4 linked regions of the Saccharomyces cerevisiae S288C genome follow. The protein of the gene in region 2 interacts with the protein of the main gene of each other region in a biochemical or structural test. Each region holds a gene or a part of one and is shown on either strand. Other genes may lie near its edges.

The links.
Region 1: the proteins of RTT109 (region 2) and ASF1 are reported together in a solved structure, tested with the Saccharomyces cerevisiae proteins (3 studies listed by BioGRID, with this or other methods).
Region 3: of the proteins of RTT109 (region 2) and HHT2, one has a biochemical effect on the other in vitro, tested with the Saccharomyces cerevisiae proteins (9 studies listed by BioGRID, with this or other methods).
Region 4: of the proteins of RTT109 (region 2) and CDC28, one has a biochemical effect on the other in vitro, tested with the Saccharomyces cerevisiae proteins (2 studies listed by BioGRID).

The regions. Positions count from the first base shown.
Region 1 is NC_001142.9:193,992-197,975, reverse strand, and holds ASF1 (nucleosome assembly factor ASF1), read right to left. Parts: upstream 1,690-3,984; coding exon 850-1,689; downstream 1-849. Other genes in the region: YJL114W (gag protein), read right to left, coding at 1-61; SUN family protein NCA3, read left to right, coding at 3,103-3,984. UniProt on the Saccharomyces cerevisiae protein: Histone chaperone that facilitates histone deposition and histone exchange and removal during nucleosome assembly and disassembly. Facilitates histone deposition through both replication-dependent and replication-independent chromatin assembly pathways.
Region 2 is NC_001144.5:143,967-148,527, forward strand, and holds RTT109 (H3 histone acetyltransferase RTT109), read left to right. Parts: upstream 1-2,324; coding exon 2,325-3,635; downstream 3,636-4,561. Other genes in the region: SFI1 (Sfi1p), read left to right, coding at 1-2,075; dynamin-related GTPase DNM1, read left to right, coding at 3,924-4,561. UniProt on the Saccharomyces cerevisiae protein: Histone chaperone-dependent acetylase that modifies 'Lys-9', 'Lys-14', 'Lys-23', 'Lys-27', and 'Lys-56' on histone H3 (H3K9Ac, H3K14Ac and H3K23Ac, H3K27Ac, and H3K56Ac) to promote nucleosome assembly, genomic stability, DNA repair and transcriptional regulation during mitotic S-phase.
Region 3 is NC_001146.8:575,140-577,646, reverse strand, and holds HHT2 (histone H3), read left to right. Parts: upstream 1-1,596; coding exon 1,597-2,007; downstream 2,008-2,507. Other genes in the region: KTR5 (putative mannosyltransferase), read left to right, coding at 1-442; HHF2 (histone H4), read right to left, coding at 609-920; putative tyrosine protein phosphatase SIW14, read right to left, coding at 2,296-2,507. UniProt on the Saccharomyces cerevisiae protein: Core component of nucleosome. Nucleosomes wrap and compact DNA into chromatin, limiting DNA accessibility to the cellular machineries which require DNA as a template.
Region 4 is NC_001134.8:558,387-562,324, forward strand, and holds CDC28 (cyclin-dependent serine/threonine-protein kinase CDC28), read left to right. Parts: upstream 1-1,691; coding exon 1,692-2,588; downstream 2,589-3,938. Other genes in the region: IFA38 (ketoreductase), read left to right, coding at 299-1,342; mannosylinositol phosphorylceramide synthase catalytic subunit CSH1, read left to right, coding at 3,248-3,938. UniProt on the Saccharomyces cerevisiae protein: Cyclin-dependent kinase that acts as a master regulator of the mitotic and meiotic cell cycles. Required to drive the G1-S transition. More than 200 substrates have been identified. Substrate specificity is in part regulated by the bound cyclin protein.

The sequences.
Region 1 (3,984 bases), on a different chromosome or scaffold from region 2:
TCCGCGCAGAAATGTTGTCGTCAATAACATTTCTTGTTTCACCCCTCACTGGGGTCGCCATGTTGATAATTAGAGGTTAAAAATTAGTATTAATGAAGAAGTGAGTACTGATCTTCTTATACTAAATAAGAGAGGTATATAAAACACACGCCGATTGGTCATATTAATTATGACCAATATAATAGTGATTCCGGTAGTTACTATACATTGATGTGACGACTCATATTCCTCATATATGTACCTACCATAACATGTTCAACTAATAGGTCTTTAACACAGCTTCAGTATTGTCTGAGCTTCTCGTTTAACATTCCTTCTGCAATAGGCGCAATCACACTTAAACGTATACGAGTTGTACATTAATATACGATGTAAGCATTAGATTGTTACCATAGCAACTCATGTCACTATTAATTACTCTCGTTCCAACATGATAATATAACTATTAGTTGATAGACGATAGTGGATTTTTATTCCAACATGTTCGTTCTGTTATGAAGTTGTTTCATATGTGTTTTATGAACTTTTAGGATGACGTATTGTCATACTGACGTATCTCACTTTGATAAACAACAATATCAATAATATTAGGGCGTGTGGCGTAGTCGGTAGCGCGCTCCCTTAGCATGGGAGAGGTCTCCGGTTCGATTCCGGACTCGTCCAATTTCTTTTTGTTCTCAACGACAATAATAAGAAAATCAACTTAAATGGAAAATATTACTGCCTTTTATTTTTTACGTAGCTGTTGCCCTAACCCGACTTTATCTTATGTCTGTTATTTTTTTATTTATACATTTTATAAAGTGTACCTCTCTTGCAGGTACCATTAATCTTATAACCCATAAATTCTTAATTCGTTGAACGTGCCGCATCCTTTGGAGTGGATTCAATATCCGTGGACCCCCCTTCTATTTTCCTCCTCTTCTTATCATTACCATCTTCATTCTTGTCTACAGACCCCACCTCTTCTTCTCCTTCTTCCTCATCGCCGTCACTATTTTCTATGTCTTCCTCCTCTTCTTCAAGATTCGTTTCGTTGTCTTCAGTCTTCTCTTCCTCCTCTTCTTCCTCCTCTGCCGCTTCTTCCGCCTCTCCCTCTCCATCTTCTTGATCGTCATCTTCGTCGTCTTCATCATCTTCATCGTCATCTTCTTCTTCATCGTCCTCCTCCTCTTCATCATCTACGCCGGGCTGTTCAGGTGGGTATAAATCCCCTTCATTTTCATTATCCCAAACAATGTTAAACCTTGTTACCCTTGGCTTTTCAGCCAGTATATTTCTTACAATATGATCTACTTGTACCTTTGCTGGCGGATTTTCTCTTAACTCTTCTTCATCGTACTCATTATTCACGTAGTAACCGACCCTAACAAACTCTCTCCCGTCATAAGAACAACTTAATAGAATAACAGTCACACTAACCAATTCACTCGCAGGAATCAGCTCGGCGGAGGGAGGGTCAGCAGAAAACACAAATTTATTAACACCTACGGGAACGGGGCCTACCAGAATGGAATCCAATTCCTGGTCATGGTCTAGAGAACGAGAGGACCCAACATAGGTTAGTTTCCACTCTAAGTCATGTTTTAAAGATTCTAAGCATTCAAAAGTGATTTCAAACTCATATGGATCAGTGAACTTTGCCGGGTTGTTTAAGACTTTGATGCCTAACAGTGAAACAATTGACATCTTTTCTATATCTTATGTTTCAATTGGATGGTAGGGAGAGTACGCTGTTACACTTTCGAGATTCTGTGAGCCTCTTACCTGTTTGGAGTTATTCCAAGTGTTAGTATTAAAATTGCAAGATTCATTTTTCCATCGTCGGTTGTACGCCCATTACATGAAAAAGGGAACAGATTTACGCGTTTAGGATGAGAAAAAAAAAAAAAGGAAAAAACGCGTAAATGAAAAGTTCTTTGTAGAACAGCTCTCTCTTAAACACATAGTAACAGCAAAAGACGCCACCAAGACAATATCCTGAAAATCGAAATTCTCGCCAAGGCATTACCATCCCATGTAAGAACGGAATAAAACAGCATTCGAAGGTTAGGTGTGGCACAAAGCCGATAAGAAAAAGAAAAGTAGTGAGGACAGGCTTAATTGAGCTAATTAAGGCGAAAAAAGGAAAAGAACTCGATAGAAAAACTTATTCATGAAGGAGACGTAAAGTCAGGCAAGGCTGCGGCATCATGTCTACTTGTCATAACTCAATTTGCCTATTTCTTACGGCTTCTCATAAAACGTCCCACACTATTCAGGGGAAGGCTACACGGAAACCCCAATAAAGGAAACGAAGAAGTGACCTTAGCCTTCGTCATCCGCGCCCACTACTCTCTTCCTAGTCGCCCGGTTGTTGAAAGTTTAATTGTGGGTTTTCTTTCACGACACACCTCACTGAAAAAAGAAACGAGCGGAGGAATAGTATGATAAATCTTCAGCATAGATGGGTAACGGGATCCCTCTGTGAGGGCCGATTATGCAGGCCTAGACCCGCACGTGACCACTTCGAGAGCAAGTTGCCTGCGAGTTTCTCTGCCCGAGGAAAAAGAAATGGAGGCAATTTACTTAATATGGTATGAGAGGATCTTTTGACGGCAAATAGATGCGCCATCTCCGAGAAAAAATCTAGACAATAACAGCGACAATTAACCTAAAGAGGATAGAAGATCGAGCAAAAAAATTTTTTTAATATGGGGTCAGTGGCGATATTATACTATAGGAGTTAAAGAGTAAGTTGAGTGTAAGGTGGTAGAATTATGATTGAACTCCGAAACTAAGCGCCGATTATGGGTGGCAAAGCGGACAGCTTTTGATATATAATCGATCGCTCTCGTAGTTGATATCCTCTCTCTTGCTTATCTTTTCCTGTATATAGTATATGTGTACATACAGATACGAATATACCTCAGTTAGTTTGTTTTAACATTAAATATTCAACAGTTGCCAGTAGCAAAAAGAATATATCCATTCATTTCGAGCTTTTTCGTCTCATTACTGATATCCAACTAACAGTCTCCTCATAGACGGTACCTTACTTTCCTTTAATATTATAATACTAGTATAGTCGCACATACTTAACTCGTCTCTCTCTAACACATAATGAAAATTTCCGCAGCTTTAATATTGTCTTCCCTTTCTTCTGTCGCATTTTCTGCCCCTGCACCTGCTCCAGCGGACAGTCACCATGAAGATCATCACAAAGATGAAAAACCAGCGGTTGTCACTGTCACTCAATACATAGATTCCAATGCCGCTACTAGTACTGTAGAATCTGCTGCTACTACCACTACATTGTCCTCATCTGAGAAGGATACCTCTGAACAGAAGCGTGATGGCGGATTCCAAGATGGTACTGTCAAATGTTCGGACTTCCCTTCTGTAAACGGTATAGTTTCCTTGGACTGGCTAGGATTTGGTGGATGGGCCTCTGTCATGGACATGGATGCCAACACTTCGTCCGAATGTAAGGATGGCTACTACTGTTCTTATGCATGTGAACCTGGAATGTCAAAGACTCAATGGCCTTCTGACCAACCAAGCGATGGTAAATCTGTTGGTGGTCTTTACTGTAAAAATGGTTACTTGTACCGTACCAACACTGATACCAGCGATTTATGTTCTACGGATGAAACATCTGCTAAGGCCATTAACAAAAAGTCTGACTCCATTGCTCTATGTAGGACGGATTACCCAGGATCAGAAAACATGGTGATTCCCACAGTGGTTGATGGTGGAGATTCACAACCAATTTCAGTCGTTGATGAAGACACTTATTATCAATGGCAGGGTAAAAAGACTTCTGCTCAGTACTATATTAACAACGCCGGTGTATCTGCAGAAGATGGGTGCATTTGGGGTACTTCTGGTTCGGATGTCGGCAACTGGGCTCCACTAGTGTTAGGTGCTGGTTCCACTAATGGAGAAACATACTTGTCGTTGATTCCAAACCCCAACAGTAACCAAGCTGCCAACTTTAACGTT
Region 2 (4,561 bases):
AAAGTTTTAGGAATACTTGGCTACTATTTCGCTCGTTCCAACAATGGATAACTTTAACACAAACTCTTAAGGAGCAGTCAAGGTTAGCAGATCAGGCCTTTTTGAATAAGATGTTTAGGAAAATTTTAAAGGCACAAGAGCATTGGAAACACTTAGAAACTGTTAACACTGACAACATTAAGAAGATATTTTTACGAACAACATTTCATATATGGAAGCTAAGACATAAAGAAATAAACTACCACGGGTTGGAAAGAAGGATTTTCGAAAGAATAAAACAGAAAGTTATAAACTATGAATACAATAAGAGCATTGCAGAAAAAGTGAGGTCGTTTTCTCTACAAAGAAAATATCTGAATAAATGGGAAAAGAAAAACATTGAAAACGAAGATAAACTTGGGGCACTTTATGAACTGGAGAATAAATTCATCAAACAAAAGTTTTTTCGCAAATTAAACCGGTCATTTCAACATAGTCAACAAGAGGCAATTGCAAAGAGTAAACTAAATCAGACACTTTTGAGGTGCGTTTTTGAGAAGATGTGGCTGAAAAGATTCGAAGACCATCTGCATTTGTATTCAATTGTAAGTCTAAAAGAGGCTAACCTCGTGAAGCGTATTTTTCATTCATGGAAAAAACTTCTATATATTGACCTCAAAGCAAGCGATTATTCGAGGACTAATTTGCTCAAGTCATCATTGCGAAGTTGGAAACTTGAAGTAAAGTTAAAAATATTTGAGCAGAAATGTAAAAAGAGTATTCAAGCAAGCGCGTATCGTACATGGAGGAAAAGAATACAGTATGGGAAAATATCGAGCGAACATGTTAAAACGGCATTTTGTGCAAAATATCTTGGTGTGTGGAAAAGGAGGATGCTACAAATGAATTCTATGAATGACGAAGCATCCAAATTTTACGAAGAGGGTCTCGTAAATGAGTGTCTAGCTATATGGAAAGAACGCCTGATTAAAACTAAGGAATTGGAGGATAGATACAATTTCTTATGTAAGACACATGCAATTTTGACTGTAAAACGGACGCTAATGCATATTGATAATGTTCATTTGCTATATACGAAACTGGCGCCCTCTATGGATAGAGTAAAGCTTTCTAAGGCCTTTTTAAAGTGGCGGAAAGCCACAAGGTTCAAAGTCAGGCATAAGTTAAACGATATTTTACACGTTTATGAAAAGAGTAAAGAGCGCGAACTTCAAAGCCAACTGTTCAACGCTTGGCGAAATAGATTTTGCTTCTACACAGAAGAATGTAACATTCAGGCTATTTCAAAGAGAAACTACCAGCTTGAAAAAATGGTGCTGAAGAAATTTAGAGAAAGACTTTTAGAGATAGTAAAATCAGAAGAATTAGCAGACGAAGTTCGCGAAGAATTTGTGTTAGTCAAGACGTTTTATATTTGGAAAACTCATCTAGACGAAATATTTTATATGAGTACATTATTGGAACAATCGGAAGCTAATAAACAATTCATAATTACATCCAAATTCTTGAAAATGTGGAGTCTTCGATTCCTAAAAATTAAGCGTAATGATGAGACAGTCGAGGTGTTTCGTCATCGGTGGGACAGGGCCACTGTAAGGGGATTGTTATTATTATGGAAAAATCGTTCAGACAGTTCTCCAAAGAGAAGGAAGGACTTCAATCTTAAACATGAACTAAAAACTCCCATAAGATCAGACTCTCAAAACGCCTCAACCATACCAGGCTCAGAAAGAATAAAGCAGCACAGAATGGAAGCGATGAAGTCGCATTATAGCAGGGCAAGAAGAGCCATACCAAGTCCGGTGAAATCTTCCAGTGTTCTTGATTCTACAGCTAAAAAACAGATCAACCTTGAAAGTACGACAGGCTTAAACGGATCTCCGACGCGAGGAAAACCTCTAAGGTATTCTCCTAGGCGTACCACTAGAAACATGCCATCCAAAGTTGACCATATTGATTTTGGCAGAATACCCGCTGTACCTTTTAGCCTAAGCGCCAATTCTCCTAAAATCGATCAAGATATGGATTATATAAGAGAGCATGATAAATCCCCGTTAAGTCGTAAACGTCAATAGATATATATATTATGTACGTATGTATGTGTGCATATGTAGTCGTAACCTTTCTTGCTTCTGAGATGCATACAATTACTAATAATATTCTCCAGGTCTATGAAAACATCACAACATACTATACTTTTCGTGTTCGCGTTGTAAGCTATAATGGAAAATGGACGCCATAACGCATTACTTAACAAACTACAGTTTGTCAATAGAGTTGTCCAGTAGAGTTAAAAGGTCAATTCAACCGGTCTTCAATAAGACATGTCACTGAATGACTTCCTAAGTTCCGTGCTACCTGTCAGTGAACAATTTGAATACTTATCGTTGCAATCTATTCCGTTAGAAACCCATGCTGTCGTAACCCCAAATAAGGACGACAAAAGGGTCCCAAAAAGCACGATCAAGACTCAACACTTCTTTAGTCTATTTCACCAAGGAAAAGTTTTTTTTTCATTAGAAGTGTATGTGTATGTCACGCTTTGGGATGAAGCAGATGCCGAACGGTTAATATTTGTATCAAAGGCAGACACTAATGGTTATTGTAATACGAGGGTAAGCGTTAGAGATATTACAAAAATAATATTAGAATTTATATTATCAATCGACCCGAATTACTATCTTCAAAAAGTAAAACCGGCAATAAGATCATATAAGAAGATATCCCCCGAGCTGATTAGCGCAGCCAGTACGCCAGCAAGAACTTTAAGGATTTTGGCTAGAAGGCTTAAACAGTCAGGCAGCACCGTTTTGAAAGAAATAGAATCTCCACGTTTTCAACAAGATCTTTATCTCTCATTCACCTGTCCTCGTGAGATTTTGACCAAAATTTGTTTATTTACTAGACCTGCATCCCAGTACCTCTTCCCAGATTCTTCAAAAAACAGCAAAAAGCATATACTAAATGGCGAGGAACTAATGAAATGGTGGGGCTTTATTTTGGATAGATTACTAATTGAATGCTTTCAAAATGATACACAAGCAAAATTAAGGATACCGGGCGAAGATCCTGCTCGAGTAAGATCATACCTAAGAGGGATGAAATATCCACTATGGCAAGTGGGTGATATATTTACCTCTAAAGAAAATTCTCTTGCGGTATATAATATTCCATTATTCCCAGACGATCCTAAGGCTAGATTTATACACCAATTGGCAGAGGAAGATCGCCTCCTCAAAGTAAGCTTATCATCCTTCTGGATTGAACTACAAGAGCGTCAAGAGTTCAAATTAAGTGTCACATCATCTGTAATGGGTATTTCGGGATACTCTCTTGCCACTCCATCTTTATTTCCATCTAGTGCCGATGTTATTGTACCGAAGTCAAGGAAGCAGTTTAGGGCAATCAAGAAGTACATTACTGGAGAGGAATACGATACAGAGGAAGGCGCAATAGAAGCTTTCACCAATATTCGTGATTTTCTATTGCTCAGAATGGCAACAAATCTTCAATCTTTAACAGGGAAGAGGGAGCATCGGGAGAGAAATCAGCCGGTTCCTGCAAGCAACATCAACACGTTGGCGATAACAATGCTAAAACCGCGTAAAAAAGCTAAAGCCTTGCCTAAAACTTGATACATATTGATATTTATTATTTAGTACACGTATGTAGCATCGATCTTAGAAAATGCATGTTTGTATTTATTGTTAGTACCTTGATCGCCACCTTTCTAGGTAATGATAGGTCCTCAACTTTTACTACGCGGTGCACGCCTGTAAGGTCGGGCAAAACAAAGTGTGGGAACAATAAATAAGAGGGTAGGATGAAATATTACCTTTACTCTACTGCTCAGGTTGGCCACAATTTGCTAAAGAGTTTATCATTAAGTAGCTACCAGCGAATCTAAATACGACGGATAAAGAATGGCTAGTTTAGAAGATCTTATTCCTACTGTCAACAAGCTGCAGGATGTTATGTACGACTCCGGGATCGATACACTCGATTTGCCCATTTTAGCTGTTGTTGGGTCACAATCCTCCGGGAAATCCTCGATATTGGAAACGTTAGTTGGAAGAGATTTTTTACCTAGGGGTACTGGTATTGTCACAAGAAGACCGTTAGTTCTTCAACTTAATAACATATCTCCAAATTCTCCTCTAATAGAGGAAGATGATAACTCAGTTAATCCACATGATGAAGTTACAAAAATATCAGGATTCGAAGCTGGTACGAAGCCCTTGGAGTATAGGGGCAAGGAAAGAAATCATGCAGATGAGTGGGGGGAATTCCTGCATATACCAGGAAAACGGTTTTATGATTTCGACGATATCAAAAGAGAAATCGAAAACGAAACAGCGAGGATAGCCGGTAAGGATAAGGGCATCAGTAAGATTCCGATTAATTTGAAAGTGTTTTCCCCTCATGTTTTGAATCTAACGCTAGTAGATTTGCCTGGGATTACAAAGGTTCCTATTGGGGAACAACCACCTGATATTGAAAAGCAAATCAAGAATTTGATCCTAGACTATATAGCCACTCCAAATTGTTTAATCTTGGCCGT
Region 3 (2,507 bases), on a different chromosome or scaffold from region 2:
CAGTTTTTTTCAATATTTGGAGAAAAGTGGTGGATTTTGGAAGGAAAGATGGGGGGACGCTCCTGTTCACTCTATTGGATTGTCGCTAACTCTGGATTTGGACGATGTACACTATTTTAGAGACATCGGATATAGACACTCCACAATACAGCATTGTCCACATAATGCCATGGGGAATGAGGAATTCTCCTACTTAGCCAGTGACTCAAAATTCAAACGTAAAAACGCGGCCTACGACGAGGGAAGGGAATTTGGGTGTGGCTGCAGGTGCAGATGTCCCAAGAAAAAGCGTGAAATTGAGGATTCCATGGGTTTCTGCGTAAATATTTGGGTAAATCTGCTTAACCAACAGAGGGGACACGAACGCCACGTCGAAGCACTCAACGGCAATGAAATGGAGGAGCACATAAGGGAAGACTATCTAAGACAGTTCGGAAACTAGTTTCTTTTATTGAGACTTATTTTTAATATATATAGTACATGAAATAATAAAAAACCGAAAAATGCATACATAAGGTTCTATTATATTCCCAATAGAATGATCGTTATTTTATTTTTTGAAAGGCATGAAAATAATTTCAAACACCGATTGTTTAACCACCGATTGTTTAACCACCGAAACCATATAAGGTTCTACCTTGTCTCTTCAAAGCATAAACAACATCCAAAGAAGTAACAGTCTTTCTCTTGGCGTGTTCAGTGTAAGTAACAGAGTCCCTGATGACGGATTCCAAGAAGGATTTCAAGACGGCTCTGACTTCTTCGTAGATCAAACCAGAAATACGCTTGACACCACCTCTTCTAGCTAATCTTCTGATAGCTGGCTTAGTGATACCTTGAATGTTATCTCTTAGAATCTTTCTGTGACGCTTGGCACCACCTTTTCCTAGACCTTTACCACCTTTACCTCTACCGGACATTATTTTATTGTATTGATTGTTGTTTTTGCTACTCTTTTGAACAAGATGTAGGAAAAAAGATAGAGAAAAGAATAAATTAAGCGAAAAAAAAAAAATCTCTTTCACCGCCTCATCCTAATATACTTATATATGATATAACTACATACGCACAAACACGTATGTATCTAGCCGAATAACAACAGCCCAGGCGCGAGTGAACAACATATTAAATTAAACGCCTTCTTGTCAGTTGTTTTGTTCTGGTCTGGTCTGCATTTCGCGCCCGAAAAAGCTTGAGACGCGAAGCTCCCAGAACGTCCTGCCATACAAATGCGAAACTCTCGGTCTAGTACCACTTTCCCGGTGCCAAACGACCACAGTTGTCCGTTCCGAGCACTTCGCATTAAGCGCGTGAAACTATTGGCACGCCCTAAGGGGCTCCTACGGATGGGAGTTGGTCATTTAGCGTTCATTATCGCCCAATGTGACGCACAATCACGGCTATGGCTCGGTGTCAAAACATAGTTTGCGTGATAACAGCGTGTTGTGCTCTCTCGCGTTGCTTCTTGTGACCGCAGTTGTATATAAATAATCTTTTTCTTGTTCTTTTATATAGGACCACTGTTTTGTGACTTCCACTTTGGCCCTTCCAACTGTTCTTCCCCTTTTACTAAAGGATCCAAGCAAACACTCCACAATGGCCAGAACTAAACAAACAGCTAGAAAATCCACTGGTGGTAAAGCCCCAAGAAAACAATTAGCCTCCAAGGCTGCCAGAAAATCCGCCCCATCTACCGGTGGTGTTAAGAAGCCTCACAGATATAAGCCAGGTACTGTTGCCTTGAGAGAAATTAGAAGATTCCAAAAATCTACTGAACTGTTGATCAGAAAGTTACCTTTCCAAAGATTGGTCAGAGAAATCGCTCAAGATTTCAAGACCGACTTGAGATTTCAATCTTCTGCTATCGGTGCTTTGCAAGAATCCGTCGAAGCATACTTAGTCTCTTTGTTTGAAGACACTAATCTGGCTGCTATTCACGCTAAGCGTGTTACTATCCAAAAGAAGGATATCAAATTGGCCAGAAGACTAAGAGGTGAAAGATCATGAATATAAAGCGGGAATTTTTTTTTTTCTATGCATTTAGACTGGGGGGACATCATACAAACATCTCCTTTTTTAATACATTATTCATCTATCTATTCGCAATGCTTTTAACGACATGAGGAGGGTATATATGCTGTAATTTATCGTTTACAGACATAATTGCGGGGCTAATTTTTAGATGCTTAGATAGTATACGTAATTTTATAACCGGCAAGAAACCATGTATAATAATTATCAATAAACATCATTTTCGAAGAGACTAGTTACGTAAAGGTAATCACTGTCTACATATTACCATTGTAGAGGCAACCAGTTGTTTTTACTAGCAATCCTCTTAATTTCGTCATCGTCATACATCTCGATGAACTGCTGATCAAGCGCCCTGGCCTTCGGAAATGCGAAACGTCTGTACTCATCAAAAATCATCGTTAGCGACCAATTTTGTAGTTTTCTTATACAACCAATCAAACACCCCGTTCTATGTTTGCCTCTATTACAATGTA
Region 4 (3,938 bases), on a different chromosome or scaffold from region 2:
CCAGAATTCCTTCACAGAAAACTATTGAACTACAGAATTCTCCAAAAGATACACTCATAGTGTTAAGACGAATCAATGTCTCGGATTTGGAAGTCCTTTATAGAGATAATTGTAGGGGCCTTTTGTAATGTTTCGGATGTTCTGTTTTAAGTCCGCGGGAGGCCTTTTTATTTTTCGCTTTTTTAGAGATTTCACGAATAAAAGCGTTGCAGAAATGCAACTTCAAAAGAGACTGAAGGAAACACAGATAGAAGAACAGTCTTCAAAGCAATCAATTCGTGTCGGTGCAGCTTAAGAAATGACTTTTATGCAACAGCTTCAAGAGGCTGGGGAAAGATTTAGGTGTATCAATGGTCTTTTATGGGTTGTTTTTGGGCTTGGTGTCTTAAAATGTACAACGTTATCACTTAGATTTTTAGCTCTTATTTTTGATCTTTTTTTACTACCAGCAGTCAATTTCGACAAGTATGGTGCTAAAACTGGTAAATACTGTGCTATCACTGGTGCAAGTGACGGTATTGGTAAAGAATTTGCTAGACAAATGGCGAAACGTGGCTTCAACTTGGTATTGATCTCGAGAACGCAATCTAAATTGGAGGCTTTACAAAAAGAACTAGAAGATCAACATCATGTCGTTGTAAAGATTCTAGCCATTGACATTGCGGAGGATAAAGAATCCAACTATGAATCCATTAAGGAATTGTGTGCGCAGTTACCAATCACCGTTTTGGTCAATAATGTTGGTCAATCACACTCCATTCCTGTTCCATTTTTGGAAACAGAAGAGAAGGAGCTTAGAAATATTATCACTATCAATAACACTGCTACATTATTAATTACACAAATCATTGCACCAAAGATTGTGGAAACTGTGAAAGCTGAAAACAAGAAGTCGGGTACTCGTGGTTTGATCTTAACCATGGGCTCATTTGGTGGTCTGATTCCCACCCCACTTTTGGCTACATACAGTGGTTCGAAATCATTCTTACAAGGTTGGTCTAACTCTTTGGCTGGGGAATTATCTAAAGATGCTATCGATGTTGAATTAATCATTTCATATTTGGTCACTAGCTCGATGTCTAAAATCAGAAGATCATCTTTAATGATCCCAAATCCACAACAGTTTGTAAAATCCACTTTAAGAAGCGTTGGCAGACGCTGCGGCTCTCAAGAAAGATACGCTACTATGACCCCTTACTGGGCGCACGCAGTGTATCAATTTGTAATTACAGAGACCTTTGGCGTTTACTCTAAGATTGTTAACTCCATTAATTATTCCTTCCATAAATCTATCAGAATTAGAGCCTTAAAAAAAGCCGCAAGACAGGTTAAAAAGGAATAGAATTATCGTTCTCGAGATAGTTTTTATACAATACATATATATATATATATATATATATTTACAAGAAAAGCATGGCTTATGTATTATACTTGCTTATGTACCAATATATACATATATGGCCTTATTAGGGCAACAAACGCCAAAAATAAAAACGAACCTAAATGAGAAAAAAAGAGAAAAATTTGGAAAACAACAAGAACTCAAAAAAAAAAATTGGTGGAAGGACCAAGTCCTCTTGAAAGAAAATTTAATACTGCTTTTCCAGAATATCATATTGGAAAAAATATTCAAGCCAGCACATCAGCTACAGTGGAAAATAGCCCAGATCAAATAGAACTATCCTTCGAACATGAGCGGTGAATTAGCAAATTACAAAAGACTTGAGAAAGTCGGTGAAGGTACATACGGTGTTGTTTATAAAGCGTTAGACTTAAGACCTGGCCAAGGTCAAAGAGTAGTCGCATTGAAGAAAATAAGACTAGAGAGTGAAGACGAGGGTGTTCCCAGTACAGCCATCAGAGAAATCTCATTATTGAAGGAATTAAAAGACGATAATATTGTCAGATTATACGATATTGTTCACTCTGATGCACACAAGCTATATCTTGTTTTTGAGTTCCTCGATTTGGACCTGAAAAGATATATGGAGGGTATTCCAAAGGACCAACCGTTAGGAGCTGATATTGTTAAGAAGTTTATGATGCAACTTTGTAAGGGTATTGCATACTGCCACTCACACCGTATTCTGCATCGTGATTTAAAACCGCAGAACTTATTGATTAACAAAGATGGGAATCTAAAACTAGGTGATTTTGGCTTAGCGCGTGCTTTTGGTGTTCCGTTGAGAGCTTACACACATGAAATTGTTACTCTATGGTATAGAGCTCCGGAGGTATTACTGGGTGGAAAACAATATAGTACAGGTGTCGATACATGGTCCATCGGCTGTATATTTGCCGAAATGTGTAACAGGAAACCAATCTTCAGTGGCGATAGTGAGATCGATCAGATTTTCAAGATATTCAGAGTATTGGGAACGCCGAATGAAGCTATATGGCCAGATATTGTCTACTTGCCTGATTTCAAGCCAAGCTTTCCTCAATGGCGCAGAAAAGACCTATCACAAGTGGTACCAAGTCTAGATCCACGCGGTATTGATTTGTTGGACAAACTCCTCGCGTATGACCCTATTAACCGGATTAGCGCCAGAAGAGCAGCCATCCACCCCTACTTCCAAGAATCATAAGCATTATAATCTATTTCGCTATTATATTACAAATGCTACTGCACTGTCATTATAGCCTAGTAAAGTATATAGTGAATACAATATACTCAGTTTCAACATTATGATGGGTAACTCCATCAGAAAATATATTCATCGTCATATACGGAACATTCAGTTATACGCGAAAGTAAAAGTGAGAGCTTTTCAGGGGTTAAAAGCTGGGCGTGTTCCATGACGTATTTACCGAGGTCGTATTATCAAAGAAAATGAAAAAAAAAAAAAAAAAAAAAAAAGCGAAGAGGAAAAAGACAAACGAAAAACAAAACGAAATAACGCATTGTATGCTGGGGCCTCAATTGAACTTCTTTGACTATAAGGAGTTCGCTTGTTTAAAGCCGTTTCGCATCTGACTCGCCCTTGGTTTTTTTCTCTGTTCTTGTTTTTGACCTCCGCAAATTCATTGCTCTTTGAATTTTGAAGAGTTTCATTGTCACCGTTGAATAACCGAGACGGGTATTGTTTTTATTTCCTTCATTATTTACATCGCAACACGATTTTTATTAGCTTCCTCAAGGAGCGCTGACCGTATATAATATAATTTCAACAACCGAACAAGGCAGTGCGAAGCGGTGCACCTTACAACAGTGCTAAAGTAGTTACAGTAAACCAATTAATACGTGATGAAGAAGGAGTTGAAAATTCTTATAATAGCGAACATTGCATTACTTATCTCTATAATACATTACACATTTGATTTGTTGACGTTATGTATAGATGATACTTCCAAAGATGCGCTAACAGATGAACAGCTGAACCCCCCCAATGGCTTCAATTCAACATTCTATGAGTCTCCTCCTCAACTCATACCGAAAATCATTCATCAAACCTACAAAACAAACGATATCCCAGAACAGTGGGTAAAAGGGAGGCAGAAGTGCATTGATTTACATCCGGATTACACTTACATTTTATGGACGGATGAAATGTCTGATACTTTCATTAAACAGGAATACCCGTGGTTTCTTGACACCTTTAGGAGTTATGAATATCCAATTGAGAGGGCGGATGCAATACGGTATTTCATCCTTTCGCATTATGGTGGTATTTACATTGACTTGGATGATGGTTGTGAAAGAAGGCTAGACCCTTTGTTGAAAGTACCAGCATTTCTAAGGAAAACTTCGCCTACAGGAGTGTCAAATGATGTGATGGGCTCTGTTCCAAGGCACCCCTTCTTCTTGAAGGTCATCAAATCGTTGAAACACTATAAGAAAAACTGGTACATTCCATATATGACAATCATGGGCTCTACGGGCCCCTTATTCATTAGTGTGGTTTGGAAGCAATATAAGAGATGGTCTAATACGGCCG